Linked DNA regions of Oryctolagus cuniculus. Each later gene encodes a partner of the first gene's protein in a complex. Links are inferred from orthologs where the notes say so. Each region holds a gene or a part of one and is shown on either strand. Other genes may lie near its edges. The genes, in order: NR0B2, NR5A2 and NR5A1.

Region 1 (7,332 bases):
GCCAACCCCAAAGGGCAGATTTTCTGTGGCGCTAACCCAGCCTGAAGCTCAGGGACCACACTTGCAAGGTTCATCCTAGGCACGGGGTGAGGCCCCAGCAATGTCTTTGGGGATCAAATACATATGTTTTTTGCTTTTTAATTTGCAAAAGTAAAGTTTCAAGCAGGGACGGTGCTGTGGTGCAGCAGGTTAAAGCCCTGGCCTGCAGTGCTGACATCCCATATGAGTGCTGGTTTGAATCCCGGCTGCTCCACTTCCAATCCAGCTCTCTGCTATGGCCTGGGAAAGCAGTAGAGAATGGCACAAGTCCTTGGGCCCCTGCACCCACGTGGGAGACCCGGAAGAAGCTCCTGGTACCTGGCTTCAGATCAGCTCAGCTCTAGCTGTTACAGTCATTTGGGGAGTGAATCAGCAAACGGAAGACCTCTCTCTCTCCTCTCTCTCTCTCTCTCTTGTTCTCACTCTTGCTCTACCTCTCTCTGTAACTCTGTCTTTCAAATAAATAAAAATAAAATTTTTAAAAAAGTTTAGAGCTACAATTGGTTAAGATTACTGTGGCTTCCCCTGCATGCTACTTGCACATTGAATCAGGAGTTTCCAGAGAGGCCACAGGGATTTGGGCATCCAGCTGAGGGCAAGTGTGCTGGGGATATGTTCAGCTGGGGTGCGGTGGGATACAGGGAGGTGGCTGGCAGTTGCTTGTGGGTATGGCTAAGTCTTTGTGCGCTATCCTGATGTGGAAAGAACTTCAGGAACGTCCCCACCATTCACTGTGCATTGTACCCCTCACTGAGCAGGGTCTCATCCACACCTGTGTGGATAGTGATGGAGCAAGAAGCAAAACCATGTGTAATTTTTTCAATCACCACCACATGTATAAATTGTCATTTTCATGTTGACATAAACTCAAAAAGGATGTTACCTCCTATAAGGGATCTGAAGCATGTATAATCACAGATGCTCTGTGTATAATTTTATTGTTAATAGAAATTAGACAAAGTAGAATTTATCAAAATTTCTACTACACACATTCTCTCTCTCCCTCTTCTTCTCTCCCTCCCTCTCTCTCAAATTAAAAAAAAAAAATCCTGCTACAAACTTATGATCTGTACTGGTGCTAGTGACTGTGTGTAGTGGCCTATTTTATGTATCCTATCAAGAATAAAAAATTTGAGGCCGGCGCCACGGCACACTAGGCTAATCCTCCGCCTGCAGCGCTGGCACCCCGAGTTCTAGTCCCGGTTGGGGCACCGGATTCTGTCCCGGCTGCTCCTCTTCCAGTCCAGCTCTCTGCTGTGGCCCAGAAGGCAGTGGAGGATGGCCCAAGTCCTTGGGCTCTGCACCCGCATGGGAGACCAGGAGGAAGCACCTGGCTCCTGGTTTCAGATCGGCACAGGGCGCCAGCCGTAACAGCCATTTTGGGGGTGAACCAACAGAAGGAAGACCTTTCTCTCTGTCTCTCTCTGTCTAACTATGACTGTCAAAAAAAAAAAAAAAGAATAAAAAATTTGAAGACTGGTATTGTGGCACAGTGGGTTAAGCTGTCACCTGCAACCCTGGTATCCTATACCCAGTGCTGGTTCAAGTCCTGGCTGCTCCACTTCCTATCTATCTCCCTGCTAATGCACCTAGGAAAGCAGCAGAAGATAGCCCAAGTACTTGGGGTCCTTGCCATCAGTGTGGGAGACCTGGTTGGAATTCCAGGCTCCTGGCTTCTGCCTGACCCAGCTCCAGCCATTGGGGCCATTTGGGTAGTGAACCAGCAGATGGAAAATCTCTAAATAATAAATAAATAAATAAATAAATAAATAAATAAATAAATAAATATTTTAAAAAGACACTTTTTGATCAACCATGCAAGAGGAAAGATAAAATCACTTCTCTATTCTCACTGTAGAAAATAGTTTTTTAAAAATGATTGCCAGCCCCCCCCCCCCCGATCATGGGGTTATTCTCTAAGAGATTGATCCAGAGCTCTCTGATGAACTGGTTGATTCCAGGGACTGGGGAGGTTGATATCAGAAAACAAAGGAAGGTTCCAAGAATGCTGAGAGCAGATCAGGAGGGGGCTATCAAAGGCCAAATCTGTGACAATCTGGGCATCAAAATAGATAATGAAGGGAGGGTGTTGTGGCACAGGGCGTTAAACCACCACTTAGGACACCTGCATCCCGTATCAGAGTGCCTGGTTTAAGTCCTGGCACACTTCCAATTCAAGTCCCTGCTGAGGTCCCTGGGAAGCAGAGGATGATGGCAGGTGGCTGGCCAGGGTGGGCTGGGCAAGGTCTAGAGACCTCCTCACTCTCTCTCTCTCTAGCCCCATTGGCTACCGTCTGAGACGGATGTCAGGATGGAGGAGCCGTGTGGAAGTAGAGCGCCGTTTCTGTCCCAATCACAAGCAGGCCTGGCCCCACTCTGGGGGACTCAGGCCCTGGCTGCACAGTTGAGCCGGTGCGTCCCGAGGAAGGAGCCAGGACTTTAGGGTCAGGCAGCTCAGGGTCCCATTCCTTCCTGGAGGGATGGCTTTGGACACGTCACGTCACCCCTTTGGGTCTCACAAAGGAAGAATCCGGAGTCAACACTAGCTCTCAATATTGGATCGGAAGAGGCCTGGCCCCCAGCAAGTGCTCAATACAGGCAGCTGTGGTTTGTGCTCATTCTGGAAGGACTTTTCCGCAGCCATGACCTTTCAGGAGCTCTAGGTATCCAAAACTGGGACAGGGGAGTCTGCAGCATTGGGTTTCTGCAGGGCCCCCAGAACTGGAGTCAAAGGAGGGGCCACACAGCACAGTGGGCAAAGTCCTCCCAACCCCCCCACCAGGGTCCTGGCTCCCTTCCCCACAGCCTGTTTCTTACCAACAACACGAGCAGGGCCCCAAGGTTAGGCAAACAAGCTAGTGATAAGGCACTTCCAGGCTGGGCCTCGCACTCAAGGCTCGTCCAGCTCCAGAGCTGGCTTCCAGGCTTAGCAAGAGCACTGGCCTTGTGCACACGCAGGAGCAGGCACCTTTAGGGACACCAGCCACAGCCACATGCTGATTGTGCACCGGAGGCCTTGGTGCCCTGGTACAGCCTGGGTTAATGACCCTGTTTATCCACTTGAGTCATCCGATAAGAAGCAACCGGTCAGCAGGCAGGTGGCCCTGTGCCCCGCACTGGCTACTTCATTGACTGAAGTGATATCAGCGCCACGTGGAGCTCCTAACGGCCCCGCCCTCGCCACTTCCCCATCAGTCCTGCCAGGGTCAGTGTGCGTGTGCGTGTGTGTGTGTGTGTGTGTTTCAATGAACATGACTCCTGGAGTCAAGGTTGCTGGCCCATTCCTCCCTCCTGCCCACTGGGGATATAAATAGCGCTCGCAGCACAGCACAGAGGGCAGAGAGCAGGGAGGCAGTAGGAGTGGAGCCGTGACCATGAGCTCCAGCCAACCAGGGGCCTGCCCGTGCCAGGCCGCCGCAGGCCGCCCGACCATTCTGTATGCACTGCTGAGCCCCAGTCTCAGGGCCAGGCCCTCTCTCCCTCCATCACGCAGCCACTGCCTGTGCAGGGAGCATCGGCCCGTCCGGCTCTGCAGCCCTCATCGCACCTGCCGGGAGGCCCTGGACGTTCTGGCCAAAACAGTGGCCTTCCTCCGGAACCTTCCGTCCTTCGGCCGCCTGCCGCCCGAGGATCAGCGGCGGCTGCTGCGTGGCGGCTGGGGCTCCCTCTTTCTGCTGGGTTTGGCCCAAGACATGGTGACCTTCGAGGTGGCTGAAGCCCCTGTGCCCAGCATACTCAAGAAGATCCTGCTGGAGGAGCCCAGCTGTGGGGCCAGCAGTGGCCAGCTCCCCGACAGGCCGCAGCCCTCGCTGGCTGCCGTGCAATGGCTGCAGTGCTGCCTGGAGTCCTTCTGGAGCCTGGAGCTGGGCCCCAAGGAATACGCCTACCTGAAAGGAACCATCCTCTTCAACCCTGGTGAGCTTCCAGACACTTCTGGGTGGAGCTGGGAGGGGGCACGGGGCACCCTCCGAGGGCTCAGTATCTATTATACTACTGGGTCCCACAGGGCCATCTCACACGAGGGGCTGAGTGGCTAGCAGGTGGGAGCAGAGCAGGCGTGAGAACTCGGGCCGGGCCGGGCCCCCTGACCCTTTGAGGGGAGGGCGGCTGACACAGCCGCGTCTCAGCACGCTCTCAAGGGCAGGTGGCGTGGCGAAGCTTTGAAGGCTAAACTCCCGTGTGGGGTCAGAAAGTTCCCATGGCGGGGGGGATGGGGTGGGGTGGGGTGGAGAATGAAGGAGGTGCGGGGGAGGCAACTCAGCGGGGAGGGCTACAGATAGAGATGGAGATGGTGTCCTTTGTAATCTGGGGGCAGCTGAGGAAAGCGTGCCATGCCAGAAGGTCCTTGTGCCCACTGACTGCCCTCCCCGCAGCAGAACCTCATGGTGTGGTTACCATACGGACCTTTAGATGCGCTAACTCCTTTAACCCTCACGGCAAGTCTTGGAGACAGGTGCGGTCATTATCATCTCCACTATACAGATAAAGAAACTGAGGCACAGAGATTAAGCACCCTGCCCAAGGTCACTCAGTCATCAATGATGGTGCCAGAAATCCAATCCAGGCAGCCCGGTCCTTAACCCTTACCTTATATGGCCTCGCTGTCGATGGATAGATAAATAAAGTGATAAAGAAATCGATGGAGGAGGTAGTAGCGGAGCCTTGAAGGCTGAGCCGACGAGGCAGGTGATGCCTGCTGGTGGCGGGGAGAGGGTGCTTACCAGACCTGTCCGTCCTCTCTGCTCACAGGCGTGCCAGGCCTCCAGGCCACCTCCCATATCGGGCACTTGCAACAGGAGGCCCACTGGGCGCTGCGTGAAGCCCTGGAGCCCTGGTGCTCAGCAGGCCAAGGCCGCTTGGCCCGAGTCCTTCTCACGGCCTCCACCCTCAAGTCCATTCCGGCCGGTCTGCTCGGGGACCTCTTCTTCCGCCCCATCATTGGAGACCTGGACATCGCCGGCCTCCTGGAAGACATGCTCCTGCTGAGGTGACATGCTGTGGCCCAGGCAGGGGTCAGCCATAGCCTGTGCAGACGCTGGCCATGCCACTTCAGCCTGCCTGTCCCCAGGGGTGCCCCGCTGCTCCTGCACAGCCCCTCTCTCAGCCACCTCCGGACTGGGACTTCCTTGGCATGGACGTGGCGCTCCAGCTGTCTGGCAGGCCCTCTGTGGTCTCCAGAGGCTCTGCGCCCAGACTCCTGTCCCCTCCTGCTGATGGCAAAGGACTGAAGCTGCTCTTTGGGCCGGGGGAGTCCTGCTGGCTTTGTACAGAACTGAATTTAAGTTATTGGTTTTTGTAATAAAAGGTGTGACACTCTCCGAGCCTGCCACTGTGTTTTGGGCACACGACAGGGACTGTCTCACCTCCAGGGCCCACCTGCTCCTATCAGAGGAGGGCAGGGGTCGTAAGGGGCACAGGAGCCAGGCCTCAGGAAACGGGGGTGTGAGTTGTTCTGGCTGGGATGGCGATTTCATCTCTGAGATGAGATTCATTTTGCATGTGGGGGAGTTCTCAGCACACAATGTCACCTCCTTGCCTTTATCCTTGGAGCGAGAAGGCTCTTCTCCCTGTCCCACGCCTTCCACTAACCCGTCTCTCAGCGCCCGAGCCCTGCAGACTCCCTCTCTCCTCAGTGAAAGTTGGATCAGAGCCGGTCAGGAAGCAGCCTGTTCCCAAATTGAAACAGACCAGGTGACTGCAATGTCTGCAGCTTGGGACCCGTCACTTGGCCCATTCCTGCAGCTGGTAGCACAGGGGGGTCCATTATTTCCCAACAGGAGAGGGCAATGGCACCCGGGGCTGGCCTGGCAGCTACTTGGAGGCCAGGGCAGGCCAAGGTTCCGCTGGCTCACGATGGTGTGGCCTCATCTGTTGTTGGAGTCTGAAACACTTCCGCAACAGTTGGTTCAGGGCCACCACCTGTAGCTCCCTGAGTGCCCTCGCACCGCCCCTCTCCCATTATCTGTTAACCCAAGAGCCAACGCGTGCCATAGCCATGGCCTCTGCACTGCTTCATTCAGAGCCGGGCTTGGGGCTGTTCCGATCAGCCAGTGTCTGTGCCTCATCGTTCGTTAAATATTTGAACCCACTCTCCCCGGGGTCAGGGTGACTGACCTGAAGGGTGGACAGGAGGGAGCGATGACAACACCCTCGCCCGCGGGACTTCCAGGCCTCCTTTCCCCAGCAATGAGGCTGCCAGGCCCCGCCCCCATCACCACCACAGTTTGGATTCTTCTCACGGGGGCTGTTAATTATTGCCCAGTGAGAGGTCATTCACTTGGGGACAGCAGCCTGGGGGGTCATCATCCAGGCCTTTCTCTAGGGCCTCCTGCTGGGACCACAGCCGAAGTTGCCTGTAGGGGTGCCCAGTGCCAGCAGCAAGCAGCAGCACCCCGTCCCTTACCCAGCACCCCACATACACACACACACAAGTCAGGCACCAGAAAGACACAGAAGCACAGAGCTCCAACCACACAACCAAGACCCACGTAACTCAGCCCCGCAGCTCTGCTACACACACACACACACACACACACACACCCCAAGACGTACAACTCAGACCCACCCCAGCAGGCCCATGACACTGAGCCTCCATCTGCCTACACACACACTCACTGGGAAACACACAGGAGCCCCAAACACATTCACAGCAGACACGGGCCCCCACGCCGGGCAGCTACGCACCCCAGGCCGAGCACACTCCAGCTTCGCAGAGAAGGGAAAGGTGGCCCCCAGAGTTTGCAGATCTTCAGGGCCTGCCTAGAGCCCGCAAGTCCAGACCAAGCTGCTCTTCCAGGCATCTGAGGGCCTCATCTAACCAATAGCCCCTTTTACCCATGGTGACCCCGAAATCCACCCCCAGCCCAGCCAGAACCTAATGCAATCCCCAAAAAGAACAAGCCCTGCATCACCCCCGCTCCTGCTTCCCGCCAAGCCCCAGGCCTGCCCTCCCCTCCCCAGTCCTTGCTGACACACAAAGCCACTGGAAGTCACAGGACCCAAATTCAGCAGAGTCAGGGGTCTGGGGCCGTCCGGCATCTCTGAAGCCTTTTTCCCGACGGCTTCTGCTAACTGTGGAGCCTCTGAACCCTTCCTGCCTCTCGCTGCCCACGCCCCTCCTCCAGCCCTGACCAGTCATCAGGAAGCTGTCTTCCCCCTGTTGCCCCCGACTCCCCACCCCTACCCCCAGCTCCCAGCCTTTCACCTTCAACTCCTTTAATCTTCCCATCATCCAAGGAGCTTCCCTTTGTACCTCTCCTTTTCCAGTTTCTCCCCTGCCTTTCTACCTGGCTG
Region 2 (7,375 bases), on another chromosome or scaffold:
AGTACTGGTCATTCCACCCTGCTCCCACCCTGGTTGGGAAACTGAGTCCTTAGTACTGGGTAATACTGTAGGCTAAGCTCAAGTGAACCCAGCCCTACGGGAAAGTTCTTAAGTTTCTCCAGACCAAAGAGCCTGGCCCGCAGAGGTGTGGGCGTCCCGCAACTTTGGACCCCAAAGAAAATGGGGACCTGGAGTGGCGAGGGCACTCTCTGGCACGGAGTTACAAACTTTTGTCACGGCCAGCGTTCAGTCAGCTTGGGACACCCCCCTCCCCCCCCACGGTCTTGTCTGGAAACAAGGCAGTTGATTCCAGAACAAGCAGTGGGTTCCGACAGATTTCCTTATCCTATAGAGACAGATGGGGTGAGTGAAGCTTGGGTCGGGGGAGGGGGCAGGCAGAGCCTGGGGGTGTCTGGACCCTGAGCCAGGGATGCAGCATTTGCTGTGAAAAATGTTAGCAGCAGGCATGGGACCAAGGCTGCCGGAGCCACAGCTGGGTTTCTCCAAAGTGCTTTTAAACAAAGCGACCTAAATGGTCGCTTCCCACATCCACTCCTCCCCAAGAAAACAGTGTGTTTGCTTCTTATAGCTGAACCCAGTCAATTTGAGACATTCCCACCACCACCACCACCCCCCCACCCTCAAGCCCACCAGCTCTGGCTCTGCAACAAGTAGATGCTCTGAGTTTCCACTTGGTTCAGCCTTCCCGGTACAGGGCACCTCGCTGAGCTACACCACAGCCAGTCTGAGATCCTTTCCAGGAACCCCTGCAAGAGGAGAGCGGGGTGCCTTCCCAACCCCGGCACCGACCTCAGCACTCCCAGATGCTGTTCTTACTGTAGTCCCAGCCCCATCCCGCCCTTCAGAATCCTACAGGGATCCAAATCTGATTTCCACAGTAGAACGAAAAGAAAGATAAAACCATTGACAAATGTCTTTCTTAAGCCCACAGGTCTTTTGGAAGAAAGTCTGAGTTGAGCAACTTTGCTGGAAATCATTATTTCTTTGTATTAACAAGAGCACGTGCCAGTTACTACCTCAGGGAGACAGCCTGGCATTCAGAATCCTACTTGGGGGATTCTATTTGCAGCTCACCCATCTTATAAGCCCCGCCCCCCACACGGAGACCTTTCTGAGCCCACCTTTTCAATGGGTGAAATGGATGCAACAAAGTAAACTTTATAAATGAGACATTGCCGGGTAAGCAGCTCACCCTGTGGCTAACAAATGCCACTTCTTCTTCCTCCAGTCCGTCTAACTTCACTCAGATTCATCTTCTATAAGGGAAATCGTGTAGAAAAGAGGGAGCCAATAGCCACTCTAGGATGGGTAAGGATGCAGCCTTCCGGGGCAGGTGCTTGTGAGCTTGATTACCCTGCAGAGTTTGACATGGTGTTCAGGGACCCTCAAATCTGTCCACGGCATCTGTATTCAGGTTACTTGGACTATAAGTGTTAAGTATATCTTTCCTATCATTCACACAAACATACATATAACAGAACTTCCCAAAATGCTTTTAAAAAAAAAGAGCCTTTATCAACTTGTCGGGTCAATTTCAGTCCACCTGCTTTTCTCAAGGTTAATCTCTTAAGCTCACACTGGTCATATTTCAGCTCTCTCCTCCAGGGCCTCCACAGAGTACAACACTCCCCAAACTCCTCAAGTTCTTGGAAGCCAACTGGACTTCTCAGAGAAGGTTGTCCCCACTAAGGTTAAGAGTGAGGAAGTTCAACTCCAAGGAGCAGCTGCATCCTGGTGTGGGTTCTGGACCTGCTTTCTGACACTTGCCCTGCCTACATCATCCCTGCAGCTGCTTTTTTTTTTTTTTTTTTTTTTTTTTTTTTTTTTTTTTTTTTTGAGGGAGCCAGGGACCTCTGTGTTCCAGAGCCCCTCTCTGGCTCAGCTCAGGTTCAAGGCTGAATCTAAGATAACCCTGGACATTGCTAGAGGTTATCTCTGAAGGAAAATCAGACACCAAAAGTGTTCAGGGGACCAGAAAGCAAACCTTCTATCACACACTCCTTTGTCCTGGGGATAGTGTATGGTATGAAATGGAACGTGCATAGCATTCTGTGCATGCACTTTGAAGAACTATGTAAAAGTTAATGCAACTCAAGCCTAATGTTGGGAACACTGGCATCGGGGTGGGGGTGATAGACACAATAAAATAAGCCTGTGTTCCACCTACAGACATGGCTGTTTGGTTGATACAGATAGGGCGAAAAAGCCTATTAAGTTAGGACTAGGTATCATTCCGCCTGTTTGGGAGAAAGGAAATAATGTAGGCCAGAAACCAAGAATCTGGCCAGTACCCCAGAGCCAGTCAACTCCAAGCAGAGAGTCTGGTCTCAGCCCAAGTCTGCTGCCCTGAAGCCACACTGAGTGGTTCCAGTCGCAGGCAGGAGGAACACCTGTGGTCATTCTGCACACACCTCATCCGACCCCCCCCCACCCCCGGTGCAAGGAGGATCTCACCCCGACAGCTAAGGCCACGCAAATAGCTTTTAGTAACACAACTCCTAGGAGGACTGGAGGGGATTAAATGCAGCGGTGGTGGGACCCTGGCGTCTGCAGGCTCTGGCTCGGTTCTGGGCACCACTCCCCCCACCCCCGCCCCCGCTCCCACGTGCATTTTGCCCTCTCAAAGCCACCCGGGGACTCCTGCCGCTCCCTGCAGCTGCACCTGTGGCTTCTCAGCCCCGGGGTAGTCAGAAAGACCCACTCAAAGGGGTCAGCCTGCCAACCGCTCGTGGCCTCCTCTCCTCTCCTCCGGCCCTTTCGACGGCTCGGTCCAGCCAAAAGCCCCGGCGACGGCCCTCGGGGCTGAACAGACCGTCCAGGACCGCGAGCCGTCGCCCCTGGGGAAGCCACACCATCACGGGGCTGCGGCATCTGCAGAGGGGACAGGGGCGCGCCTGGGCCGGGCGGCTGCGAGGAACAGCCGGGAAGGGGATTCTTTGACTAGAAACTCGGAACTTGGCGGTGCGCCGGATGGCTTCAGGGTGCAGGAGTGAGCTCGTGCCTCTCCCACGCGAGGCTCCGGCCCTGCGGGACCCCGCGGGGCTCCAACAGCCGCCTCCCGCCCATCCCAGACCCGCGGGTGTGCTCGGGAGCGCCCCGCCCCTGCCCGCGCACAGCCCCGCAGGGCGCGGCCGGGCGTCTCCCAGCTCCACCGCCCACCTCCCCCTCTAATTCTCCCCTGGGGTCTTGGTGGGTGGGGGGGCCTAGCGGGCGAGGCGCGCGCGCGACCCCCACCCAGCCCGGTGCAGGCCGTCACGGCCTGCAGCAGCCGCGCGCAGCCGGAGCCCGGGACCTCTCCGCGCGCGCACCGCGGGGCGCGCGCACCGCCCGTGCGCGCCGCCCGGGCCACCCGCGCCCCCGGCCCGACGCGCGCAGGGCTTGGCGGCGGCAGGGAGCGAGTGCTCGCCCGCGGGGCCGCCCGGCCGCGGAGCCCGAGGCGTTCCGGGGTTCTCTGGCCACGCTTGCTTGCGCCCGCATTTTCTTTGTTATCTGCAGAGCAATTGATTCTCGGGTGCACTCTGCGTGCCTCCCCCGTGTTTTCTTTTTCGTAAGTACAGAACTTTTTTTTTTTTTTTTGGTAAACATTTCCTCAGTTGATGTACGAGTACTTTAGGGTGTAGTTGGCCCATAAAAAAGGCAATCAGTGCCTTCGGTGGAGTCAGCTGGCAGCCCCGGGGGAAGGGGAGAAGCCCGAGCCGGCCCGGGGTGGCGCCGCTGGGACTCCGGGCTCCGCAAGGCCCCCGCACGGCCCCGCAAAATCGGGTCCCGGAGCTTTGCTCAGAGCCCTGCAAGTCCCTGCCCTTCCCGCCTCTGCTCTTAGCATTCACTGAATGTAATCTTGCAGGGAAATGAGCAAGTTCGTGACTGTCCTTTTTCTTGTTTAAAATGAAAAGTAGCTCTATGTACCTATTTCGGTAAAAGCAAGACGTGGTCATTATTTTTACAGAAGATAGCAATTTTTCTAATTCTTAACTAATGCTTAATTTTTTTTTCATGACTTTCATTTGCTAAAAATACCAGTTTTCTACAGTATCTGTAGGGACTTGAAAACTATGATAAAGTTTGATTAGTGATCACTCAGTATGATTGGCTTGTTCCAAGTTGTTCAAATTTTAGTTTATTATTTCCTATTAGAAGTTGTCAGAATTTATTAAGGATAAAATTGATCTATTTTGAATATTTTCTGGCTGTTTTGGGCTAATAGAATGACGTCCAAAAACAGTGGATAATAATAACAATATTCATATGTGGAATTAGCCACTAGGCTTTTTTGAACTGCAGAAAAGAAAAATGTGTAATATATGCGTGGGTTTATTATAGGCTTTTAATAAGCACAAAGAAAATCCTTGACTTAAAATGCAAAACCGTCAATGAGATTAAGTTCCATGTATTCAGTAGTAGCACAATAGTGACTGGGTGGTAAATAGAGCGACTGCTACTTACCGGTAGGTGTGAGTCCGCGCTTTAGATACTGTTGCACATCCCCAGGGTCCGAATTAGAAGACATTCTCAGTGAGAGCACAGGCAGGCCTTTGGCTCACAGCAAAAATCATGGAGCGCAAGAAAAAATACAGCTTGTCATCTTTTGTGGCCTTGGGAAGAGACACATCAGACTACAGTAACCCTTAGTGAAAGTTAAGAAAAAGAAAAAAAAAAAATCCAGAATTCAGAAAGTTACAAGCAAGTCTTTCCCTGGACTCTGTACTGTTTCCAGCGTGAGTGACCTGTTGTAAACCATGTATCCAGTTTCACGATGGTTTCTAATCAGAAGAATGGAAACTTCTGATAGGCTTCACTGGACCACATGACTGTATGCAGGTCGATAAGCGGACCCTGTTATAAAGTGACAGCAGAAGAGATAAGAACTCTTGGCAGATAATGGCAAAGAAATGATTAACTCAGAAGTGGAGAGGCGCTATGCAGCACCCAGAGTGGAAAGTTGTAAAACCGAGGGTCAGATCAGACCTGGTGGATAAAACTGCAAACCAGCCTAAATCCACTAACTAAACTCAGGCTTGTGACATAGCCCCTTGATGTCATCAGCTATTTGCATAGAGGAGGGCACACGGGGCTCTTCTGACCTCTGCAAATATGGGTTAGATGATAAACACTGACAGACATTAATTCTGGGAGGGCTGACTGCAGGTATGATCCACACTTTGAAACACCACGGGTTGCCACGCCAGGCTTGTGGCCATTTATTTAGTCATGTTTTGGTCAACCACCTGTTTCTTTCTTTTTTTTTTTTTAAGTCGTAACTGTTCATTAGTGAAGGAGTTCATTTGAGCTTGTTTGTACATTGGACATTTGGTTAAAAGGACAACCTCTCCCCAATAAAGCAAAACCTACACTTTGAGATTAATGCTGAAAGATGACGAATGTGTAAGTAGCTTTTCTATAACTTTAAAGTTGTTATTTATTTGTTTGGGTCCATGAAGAAAATCTGTGCTACTCTTTAGCACTAAAGGAGTAGTACTCAAATGGCCAAAGATAGTTTGTTCTGTTGAATATCCCTACTGTTATTCGAAGTAATAAAATCCAGATTCTTAGAGCAATGCATGTCTTTTCCCACATTGTGGAAGTGTGCTGTTTTTCTTTTTTGGGTTTTGTTAATTGAGTAACTTTGTATTCCTTTGGTCTACGATCCTATAAAAATATTTATATACACTGTTTTTCCTATTCAAAATATATTTTTTTAAGAATTAGTCTTGACTACATATTATAGAAAAACCTGAATAACCATGGTTGAAACAAGATGCTTAGTTCTCTTTTCTAAGTGGAGTTGAGAGGTGGGCAATCCAGAGATGGAACAATGGCTCTTCAAGTCTGGTTCAGACCACACTCCTTCCTTTTTTACTTTCTGCTAACTCTCATCCTCATGTTCCAAAATGGCTACTAGAGTTCCAGCCATCGCTCTTAGGAAGCAGAATCGAGGACGAGGGGAGGAAGCATGTTCCTTTTTGAGAACATTTCCTTAAAGTACCAGGCTCTCTCTGTCGGTCTCGCTGGACCACAGGTAGATACCCATCTATGATTAGCTGCAAGGGAGAAAGGCAACTGAGGTGTTTTTAGCCAGACAGCTAAATAAGTACCCAAACGAAAAAGCATTGGGTAATTACAATTATCCTGTCAGCTTTTTGCTGTTATTTCCTTAACTAATCATGGCATATTACCAGAAGTGGACCCGTGTGTATGTTCAAGGACATGTGACTGGAAAGCAAATGTTCTGTTTAACTGATTTAGGAATCCAAAAAGCTGTTGCTTATACAACTTATACTTGTTAGTATCTGTTGTGTTAAAAATTAAAACAGAGAGACTTTAAAATGTTTATTATTTATATTTAACTTATTAAAATAATACCTAACTCATTATATATCAACTTACTTTTACTGTGGTTCATTTAAAAATATTTATTTATGCATTTTTATTTCTTTGAAAGGCAGAGAGCGAATAAGAGAGATTCCATCCATTGGTTCACTCCCCCAGATGCCTGCAAGAGCTGGGGCTGGACCAGACTGAAGTCAGGAGCCAGGAACTCCATCTGGGTCTCCCATAGGGGTGCAGGAACCCCAGTACTTGGGCCATCATCTACTGCCTCCCAGGCATGTTAGCAGGAAGCTGGATCAGAGCAGAGGTGAGACTCAATTCCATGTGCCCCGATGTGGGATACAGGTGTCCCAAGTGTTGGCTTACCCCTTTATGCCACATATTAGTTTAATGGCACCTTTTAAAGAAATTATCCAAGAGGCGTAGAGACAGATATACAAACAGAAAGCCCCCATTTACTGGCTCACTCCCCAAATACTTGGAACAGTCTGGGCTGGGTCGGGTCAAAGGCAGGAGCTGGGAATGCAATGCAGGTTTCCCACATGGGTGCTAGGGACTCAACTACTTGAGCCATCCCTGCAGCCTCCCAGGGGGTGCATCGGCAGGAAGCCGGAATCAGGAGCAGGCTGGGATTCAAGTTCACGTACTCTGATAGGAAATGTAGGCATCTCAAGTAGCACTTTAACTGCAAGGCCATATGTCCAGCCCTAATGGTATACTATAGATTAAAAATATTTTTTAAAAACAAAATAATTAATTAAAAGTTACATTTTGACCAAAAAAAGGTCTGGCCTAGTGAAGACAGTGGGATTCTTATATCTGCTTCTGCAATTTTTCTAAATTTTTTAAAATATTTATTTATTTATTTGAAAGGCAGAATTACAAGAGAGAGAGAGAGACATAGAGATCCCCCATATACTGCTTCATTTCCCCCAAAAAAGCTGCAATGGCCAGGGATGGACCAGGCTGAAGAAAGGGGCTGGGAGCTTCATCCCAGTCTCCCACGTTGGACTTGGGCCATCTTCCA
Region 3 (6,632 bases), on another chromosome or scaffold:
GTCCGCGGAAGGCCGCTGTGGGGAAAGGGGGCTGGGCCGAGGAGAGAACCTGGTTTCAGGCCTTGAACCCGTGCTTGCCACCACGCCCGCGCTCGCCCTTACCCACTTCCACGCTGCCAAACGAGAGGCGCCCCCAAGTTGGCCCTGGCCACGGCTAAACCGGGCTTGCAGACAGGCGCGGGTCCTCTCCCACCGCGGGTGCGGGGCTCGAGGCTCCCGGGCGCCCGACACCTGCCCGGATTCCGGGTGCTCCAGCTCCGCCGCGCTCTGGCTGCGGACGGGCTCCGGGGGCCGAGATGGTGATGGGGGCGCCGAGAGGGCCAGGGTGAAGACGCGAGCCAGGCTGGGGGGTGCAGGGCAGGGCGCTGGCCGGGCCGGGAGAAGATGCGGGCCCGTCCCCCGCCCCCGGATACCGCACGCTTCCATATAGAGGGGCCGGCCCCCTCCCCGGCCCCGCGCAGCGGGTTCGCGCAGCGCGCAGTGGCGGCGGAGGGGCCCGGGTCCCAGGTGCGCCTCGGAGCGGCCCTGGAGCGCGGGGGGCGGGGAGGCGGGGGGGGGGAGTGCCGAGGCCCCGCGCCCCCGCCTCCCCGCCCCCGGCCCGAGCGGCCGTCATCGCGGGCGGGCGGCGCTGTGCCCGGGTGCGGCTCTTCGCCGGCGGCGGCAGCGGCGTGGCCGGGAGGTGCGGGACTCCGTGCGGGCGGGACGCGGGGCGCTGCTCGCAGGAGCCGCCAGGTGGGCGCCGGTCGGACCGCGGCCGCCGTCACTCCCCATCTCTCGTCCCGGGGCCCCGACTCTGCGCGTTCCCTCCTTGGGACTTGGACTCTGCGCCCGAGGTCGCTCCGCCGCCTGGGGTGCGGCCTCCCGGAGCGCTCGGGGTCTCTGCCCGCGGTCCCCGCCGCGCCCTCTCCGCCCGACGTCTGGCACTCGGCGGCGAGGGCAGCTCCTCCCGTTGCCGTCGCGCCGCGGGCTTTGTCTCTCCGGCCCGGGGCCGGGCGGCTCGGCGCTCTCGGGCTGTCTTGTCCCGGGCGCCGTCGGGCTGCGCGCTTCTCGCCAAGGGCCCCTGTGCGGGTCCGGCTCTGCGGGGCCGCGCCTCGGCCCTCGGGCTCTCGCTTCGCCGTGGTCCGCGCGCCCCCAGGCCCCGACCCTCCTGCTGGGTGCCTCTGTGTCTCCAGGTTTCTCCCAGCGTCTCTGTTCTCTCAGCGTCTCTGTCTGGTGACTGTCGCCGCGTCTCGGACCCTGCGCCTGTCTCTCCAGGTTTTTCCTTTCTGTTCCCTTCTCGCCAGCCCTCCCTTGGTCTTGTGTCTCCATCAGGTCCCGTGCCTCGGCGACCCCGTGTCCCCGTGGTCGCCCCCGGGTTGGCTCGGGCACCGCGCGGCTGGGGGGCTCGCTCTGCCAAGCCGGGGCGTCTGCCTCTCTCCCAGCCTCGTCTCTGCCTCCTCGGCTCCTCGGAACGCTCCAGGGGCCCTGCGCCCCCACTCCGCCGGGGTTCCTCGGCGTCTCCGCCCGCGCCCGCGCCCGCGCCCGAACCCTCTCGTTTTCTCAGAATCCGGGTTTTGTTCTCAGACAAACGAATCCGGATCGAAGCGCATCGAATCCGAGGGTCCCAGATCGGGCGCGGCGGGGACCGCGCGGGAGGAGTCTCCAGGAGGGGCAGCGACGAGGGCCGAGCGCCGGCCAGGGCCAGCCGGGCACGGGCACGGGGACGCAGCTCCCGCCCCGCTGCAGGCTGCCTGGGGCGCCCCGGGGCAGAGCGCGACCGACCCGCTCGGAGGGCTCGTGGGGGCGGCGGCCGCGGGGTGCGGGGTCGGCCCAGCGCCCGCAGTGACCCGCTCCTCCCTCCGCAGGCGGACGCGGCGGGCATGGACTATTCGTACGACGAGGACCTGGACGAGCTGTGCCCCGTGTGCGGGGACAAGGTGTCCGGCTACCACTACGGGCTGCTCACGTGCGAGAGCTGCAAGGTGAGGCGGGCCGGGGTCCCGGGAGCGGCGGGGAGCGGGAGCGGGCGGCACCCCGGGGGCCCGCGCTCACTCCCCTGTCCCGCAGGGCTTCTTCAAACGCACGGTGCAGAACAACAAGCACTACACGTGCACCGAGAGCCGGAGCTGCAAGATCGACAAGACGCAGCGCAAGCGCTGTCCCTTCTGCCGCTTCCAGAAGTGCCTGACGGTGGGGATGCGCCTGGAAGGTGCGCGCCCGCGGGCTTCGGGCCCGACTCCCGCGGCCGAGCAGTGGGGGTGGGGTGGCGCTGAGCGAGGGCCCGAGGGGCAGCCCCACTGCCGGGTGGTGTGGGCCCCGGGCCTGCGGAGGGCCAGCCTAGCGGCTGCAGAGCCGCCCACCTCCTACCCCCACCGCGGGTACCCAGCACCAAGGCTTTCATGGCCTCGGCCAGTTCTCCTCCTGGTGCCCCCACTAATGGGCCAGCTGGCATCAGGCAGGTTCCTAACCTCTCTAAGCTGCCCCATCTGGAAAATGGGCTTACAGTAGCAGGACCCACCGCCCACCCCTCTACCCCCAGGTCTAGTGTTAGGATTGGCCTGCTTCACAGTGACGTGAGGACCAGCCCGGCAGGCGGTACCTGGCCATCGCCAGTATTGTCATCATGGTCCTTTCTGCTGTTCTCTGCCCACGGTCCCTGGCCAGCCCATCTTTTGTCCGTCCAGCCATCTGCAGCGTCACCCAGTCCTTTCACTGCGCAGGAGACATTCCTCCCCCACGTGCTCTCAGCCAGGCCCTGGGAGGGCTGGGAGTGGGGAGTGATTGCCGGCGGGGGACCCAGGCCCGCCTCGTCTGCCTGCCCGCAGCCCCCGCTCTCAGTGTAGGGACTGGAGCTCTCTCGGCTTGCACCCCGCTGGCCCCAGCCGGGCCGTGCGCCGAGCAGGCAGCTGTTGGCTAAAGCTTTAGAACGGCATAGAAGGCTCCCGGGGCTCGAGAGCTGCAGCCCACACGGCCTGCCACCTAGAGGAGGGGTCCCGGACGGGAGGGGGCTGTCCTGCCCTGTCCCCCAGCCCACATCCTAGCTCCAGGTCCCGGGGGAGCGGGACCCTGCTGTCTGCTCCCACACCACCATCCCTGCTCGTCCCCCCACTCTCTTCCTTCTCCCCGGGCTCAGGGTGGGGTCCTGTTTGCACAGGGGCAGGGGCCACACTCCAACTGCAGAGATGCACCTGTTGGGTCTGGCTGGTGACACATTCTTGGCCAGCCCAAGGAACATCTGGTCAGCAAGAGAGGTCCCCTCCCCCAGCACAGAGCCCCAGCGAGCCCTAAAGTCAGCTTCTGATTGGAAGGCAATGTGTGAGGCAAGAGGGCTTCAGTCAGTCCAGCTTCTGGTCGCCGAGTACCCGGATGTGAACAAGGCTAACTGGGGCCCCTTCCTGTTGCCATCTCCCTGCCAGGCCCTGTGCTGGGCACCAGAGCCCAGAGCCAAGCACCCAGGAGCTCTCGGCCTGTGGCACAGGGTACAATACACTCAGTGTGAAAAGGTTGGGCAAGGGGCAGGCTATCAGGGACAGTAGGTTCCGTGTGGGGGTGAATCCCGGAATACTTCCTGGAGATGCCTGGTTAAGGAGACTGACGTTGCTGGTGTGTAGTGAGTGTGGCAGTGACCTAGTGTGCTCTGTGAGCCCAGGGTCTGTGGTAAGGGCAGTGGAAGGTGGTGTGGAGGCTGAGCCTGACCCTCTGCCCCTGCCCACAGCTGTGCGCGCCGACCGCATGCGGGGCGGCCGGAACAAGTTTGGGCCCATGTACAAGCGGGACCGGGCTCTGAAGCAGCAGAAGAAGGCGCAGATTCGAGCCAATGGCTTCAAGCTGGAGACAGGGCCCCCGATGGGGGTGCCTCCCCCTCCCCCGCCCCCCCCGGACTACATGCTGCCCCCCAACCTGCACGCATCGGAGCCCAAGGGCCTGGCCCCGGGTCCGCCCGCTGGGCCACTGGGCGACTTTGGGGCCCCGGCACTGCCCATGGCCGTGCCCGGGGCCCACGGGCCACTGGCCGGCTACCTCTACCCCAGCTTCCCTGGCCGCGCCATCAAGTCCGAATACCCGGAGCCTTATGCCAGTCCCCCACAGCCTGGGCCGCCCTACAACTACCCGGAGCCCTTCTCCGGGGGCCCTGGGGTGCCCGAGCTCATCCTGCAGCTGCTGCAGCTGGAGCCAGACGAGGACCAGGTGCGCGCGCGCATCGTGGGCTGCCTGCAGGACCCGGCCAAGGGCCGCCCGGAGCAGCCCGCGCCCTTCGGCCTCCTGTGCAGGATGGCGGACCAGACCTTCATCTCCATCGTGGACTGGGCGCGCAGGTGCATGGTCTTCAAGGAGCTCGAGGTGAGTCCCCTCTCCCTCCGGGGCCGCCCCGCCCAGTGGCTTCAGGCGGTCTGGGGGCAGGGCGGCCGCGCCAGCCCCCACTGCCTCCCTCTCCTCTGTCTCTGATGGCCTCTGCCTCCCCAGCCCCTTCTGTCTCTGCTTCTCTATTCCCCTGTCTGGGTCACTCACAGCGTTTCTGTCTCCTCCTCTGAGACCCTGGGCTCCCTCGAAGGACCACGTGAGTCCCTGGGACGCAGTCTTGTTCCCAAGAGGCCAGCCCATCGTGTCCTCAAATGCCAGTACCTCTGAGCTTGGGCTGTGCGTGGGTCTTTCCCCTTCTGCCTGTGCATCGCGTGTGTATGATGGAGGTATGTGTTGGCGTGCGTGTGTGCGTGTGTGTGTGTGTATGCAGGGGAGCTAGGCAGGAGAGGAAGAGGGGGATTCCAGGGCTGCCACAGATCCCAGACAACCTCGCCTTCCTCTGTGGACTTCTCTCCCCTCAGTTGAGGTAGCTGGGGCTAAAGGAAGCAGAAACGCAGCAGGAGAAACCGAGGCCAGACATAGGGAAGGACTTCCCAGTCATTGGCCTCAGCGTGTGAAGGGCCTGAGGCCCCCCTCGTGCCTTGGCTCCTCTTGAGCCTCCCCAGAGGCCCCTCGAGCCTGTTCAAGGCTCATCCCCCTCCTTTAGCCCCGGCCTTTGGGGGCTGCTCTTCCCAGACTGGCCCTCCTGACTGCTCTGGGGCTGACCGTAAGTAGCAGGGCCTGTTGCCTTCCGTGCTGGGGCCACGGCAGCCTTGAGCGGCATTGTCAGCACTGACGCCATTCAGGCCCGGGCTTCCTCCAGGGCCATGTGGCCGGATGGGCCCGGGGCACTGCCTGCCCCACTGGCATGGAGGGGAAACATGGTGGGGCGTGGGCACCGTGCATGCAGGGGGCAGCAGGAGGCTGGGCCTGGGCTGACCCAGGCCTGCGCCGAGGCCAGCTGCTCTCTCCGGCCCCTCTGGGCTGGCCTCCTGCAGGGGTGAGGGGCAGGGCCTTGGATGCTCTCACCTGCTGTCACCTGTGGCTAGAGGCCCTGGCAGGGACATGGAGCTTAAGTCCTTCAGACTTCCCATGAGCCCCCTGTGCAGAGGGGGAGGAGCAGAACATTCCCAGCCTTCCAGAACCCTGGATCCAGGGGCGGGGCACTTCCTCTGGCCGCCTTCCTGCTCTCCGGGGGCTTGCACGCAGGATGGGAGGGGCTTTTGTCCCAGCTCCGCTGAGTGTTTTTTCCTGCTTCTGGCTTCTCTGTGGTCCAAACCTTCCTGCTTCCCCTCCCCAGAGCCTCTGAGCAGAGCCCAGGATGCACCCTGCCACCCCCACGTTGGTAAAGGACCCTTGCAGACAAGCACCAGCCCAGCACCTCGAACCTCACCTGTTGGCCATGTGGGGAGGGGTGCTGGGCTGGATCTGATTGCAAAGTTCGGGACGAGGCGGTAGAAAACCGGGGACAGGACTGAGTGGCCCTGTTGCCCCTCTGGGCTGGCCGTCCAGCGCCCCACCTCCGGGTGGACCTCATCTCCGGGTGGACCCTCCCAGGACAGAAGGCAGGATTCTCTGGCTCTGAGGGTGGGGCAGCCCTGGGGCTGGGCACTGGGAACGTCAAGGAGACATGTGCGGGCCCCCAGGGGACCAAGGGAGCCAGCGGGGCAGCCAGTGGCACTCCAGGCAGCGGGAGCAGCCTAGGCTGACGTCACCTCGTGTGTGCAAGGATTTCTGGGTGCTTCACGAAGCCCAGCTTCCACCAGGAGTGGGTCCGTCGGTGTGGGGGATGGTCAGCCTGCTGGGGCTGGGTGGGGAGGGTCTCGCTCCCACCACCCAGGCTGTGGCCTCCTGCGGCTCATGCAGAGGCTGGGGGCTCAGCTGCATGGTCAGCCTGCCCGCAGCCCAGAGGCGTCTGACTCAGCACCAAGTTTGTTTTTTTTTTTTAAAGATTTACTTATTTATTTTTATTTGAAAGGCACAGTTATTGGTGTTGGGGGGCAGAGAGAGAGAGAGATCTGTCTGCTGGTTCACTCCCCAAATGGCTGCAACAGCCACAGAAGGGCCATGCTGAAGCCAGGAGCTTCTTCTGGGTCTCCCGTGTGGGTGCAGGGGCCCAAGGACTTGGGCCATCCTCCACTGCTGTCCCAGGTGCATTAGCAGGGAGCTGGATGGGAAGTGGAGCAGCCGGGACTTGAACCAGAGCCCATATGGGATGCCAGCGCTGCAGGCAGCTGCTTAACCCACCATGACATGGCGCCGCTGCCCCTCCCGACCCGACACCAGGGCCCTCGTTCCCCAGTCAGAGGCCA

The links.
Region 2: the proteins of NR0B2 (region 1) and NR5A2 are in contact, whole or in part, in a crystal structure (PDB 1YUC), measured with the Homo sapiens proteins. The link is inferred for Oryctolagus cuniculus from reciprocal best matches to the Homo sapiens genes NR0B2 and NR5A2. Residues at the interface, in NP_068804.1 of Homo sapiens: Arg17, Pro18, Ala19, Ile20, Leu21, Tyr22, Leu24, Leu25, Ser26, Ser27, Ser28; in NP_995582.1 of Homo sapiens: Phe354, Val357, Arg361, Phe366, Val371, Asp372, Gln374, Met375, Leu378, Gln379, Asn529, Asn530, Leu531, Glu534, Met535.
Region 3: the proteins of NR0B2 (region 1) and NR5A1 are in contact, whole or in part, in a crystal structure (PDB 1YMT), measured with the Mus musculus proteins. The link is inferred for Oryctolagus cuniculus from reciprocal best matches to the Homo sapiens genes NR0B2 and NR5A1. Residues at the interface, in NP_035980.1 of Mus musculus: Thr19, Ile20, Leu21, Tyr22, Leu24, Leu25, Ser26; in NP_001303616.1 of Mus musculus: Ile275, Val278, Arg282, Phe287, Val292, Gln295, Met296, Leu299, Gln300, Asn450, Leu452, Glu455, Met456.

Annotation. Positions count from the first base shown.
Region 1 is NC_091438.1:144,598,741-144,606,072, forward strand, and holds NR0B2 (nuclear receptor subfamily 0 group B member 2), read left to right. Parts: upstream 1-3,139; 5' UTR 3,140-3,413; coding exon 3,414-3,954; intron 3,955-4,788; coding exon 4,789-5,030; 3' UTR 5,031-5,355; downstream 5,356-7,332. UniProt on the Homo sapiens protein: Transcriptional regulator that acts as a negative regulator of receptor-dependent signaling pathways. Specifically inhibits transactivation of the nuclear receptor with which it interacts.
Region 2 is NC_091444.1:16,221,205-16,228,579, reverse strand, and holds the start of NR5A2 (nuclear receptor subfamily 5 group A member 2), read right to left. Parts: upstream 4,777-7,375; 5' UTR 4,529-4,776; coding exon 4,465-4,528; intron 1-4,464. UniProt on the Homo sapiens protein: Orphan nuclear receptor that binds DNA as a monomer to the 5'-TCAAGGCCA-3' sequence and controls expression of target genes: regulates key biological processes, such as early embryonic development, cholesterol and bile acid synthesis pathways, as well as liver and pancreas morphogenesis.
Region 3 is NC_091432.1:228,370,538-228,377,169, reverse strand, and holds part of NR5A1 (steroidogenic factor 1), read left to right. Parts: intron 1-1,844; 5' UTR 1,845-1,859; coding exon 1,860-1,961; intron 1,962-2,046; coding exon 2,047-2,188; intron 2,189-3,694; coding exon 3,695-4,320; intron 4,321-6,632. UniProt on the Homo sapiens protein: Transcriptional activator. Essential for sexual differentiation and formation of the primary steroidogenic tissues. Binds to the Ad4 site found in the promoter region of steroidogenic P450 genes such as CYP11A, CYP11B and CYP21B.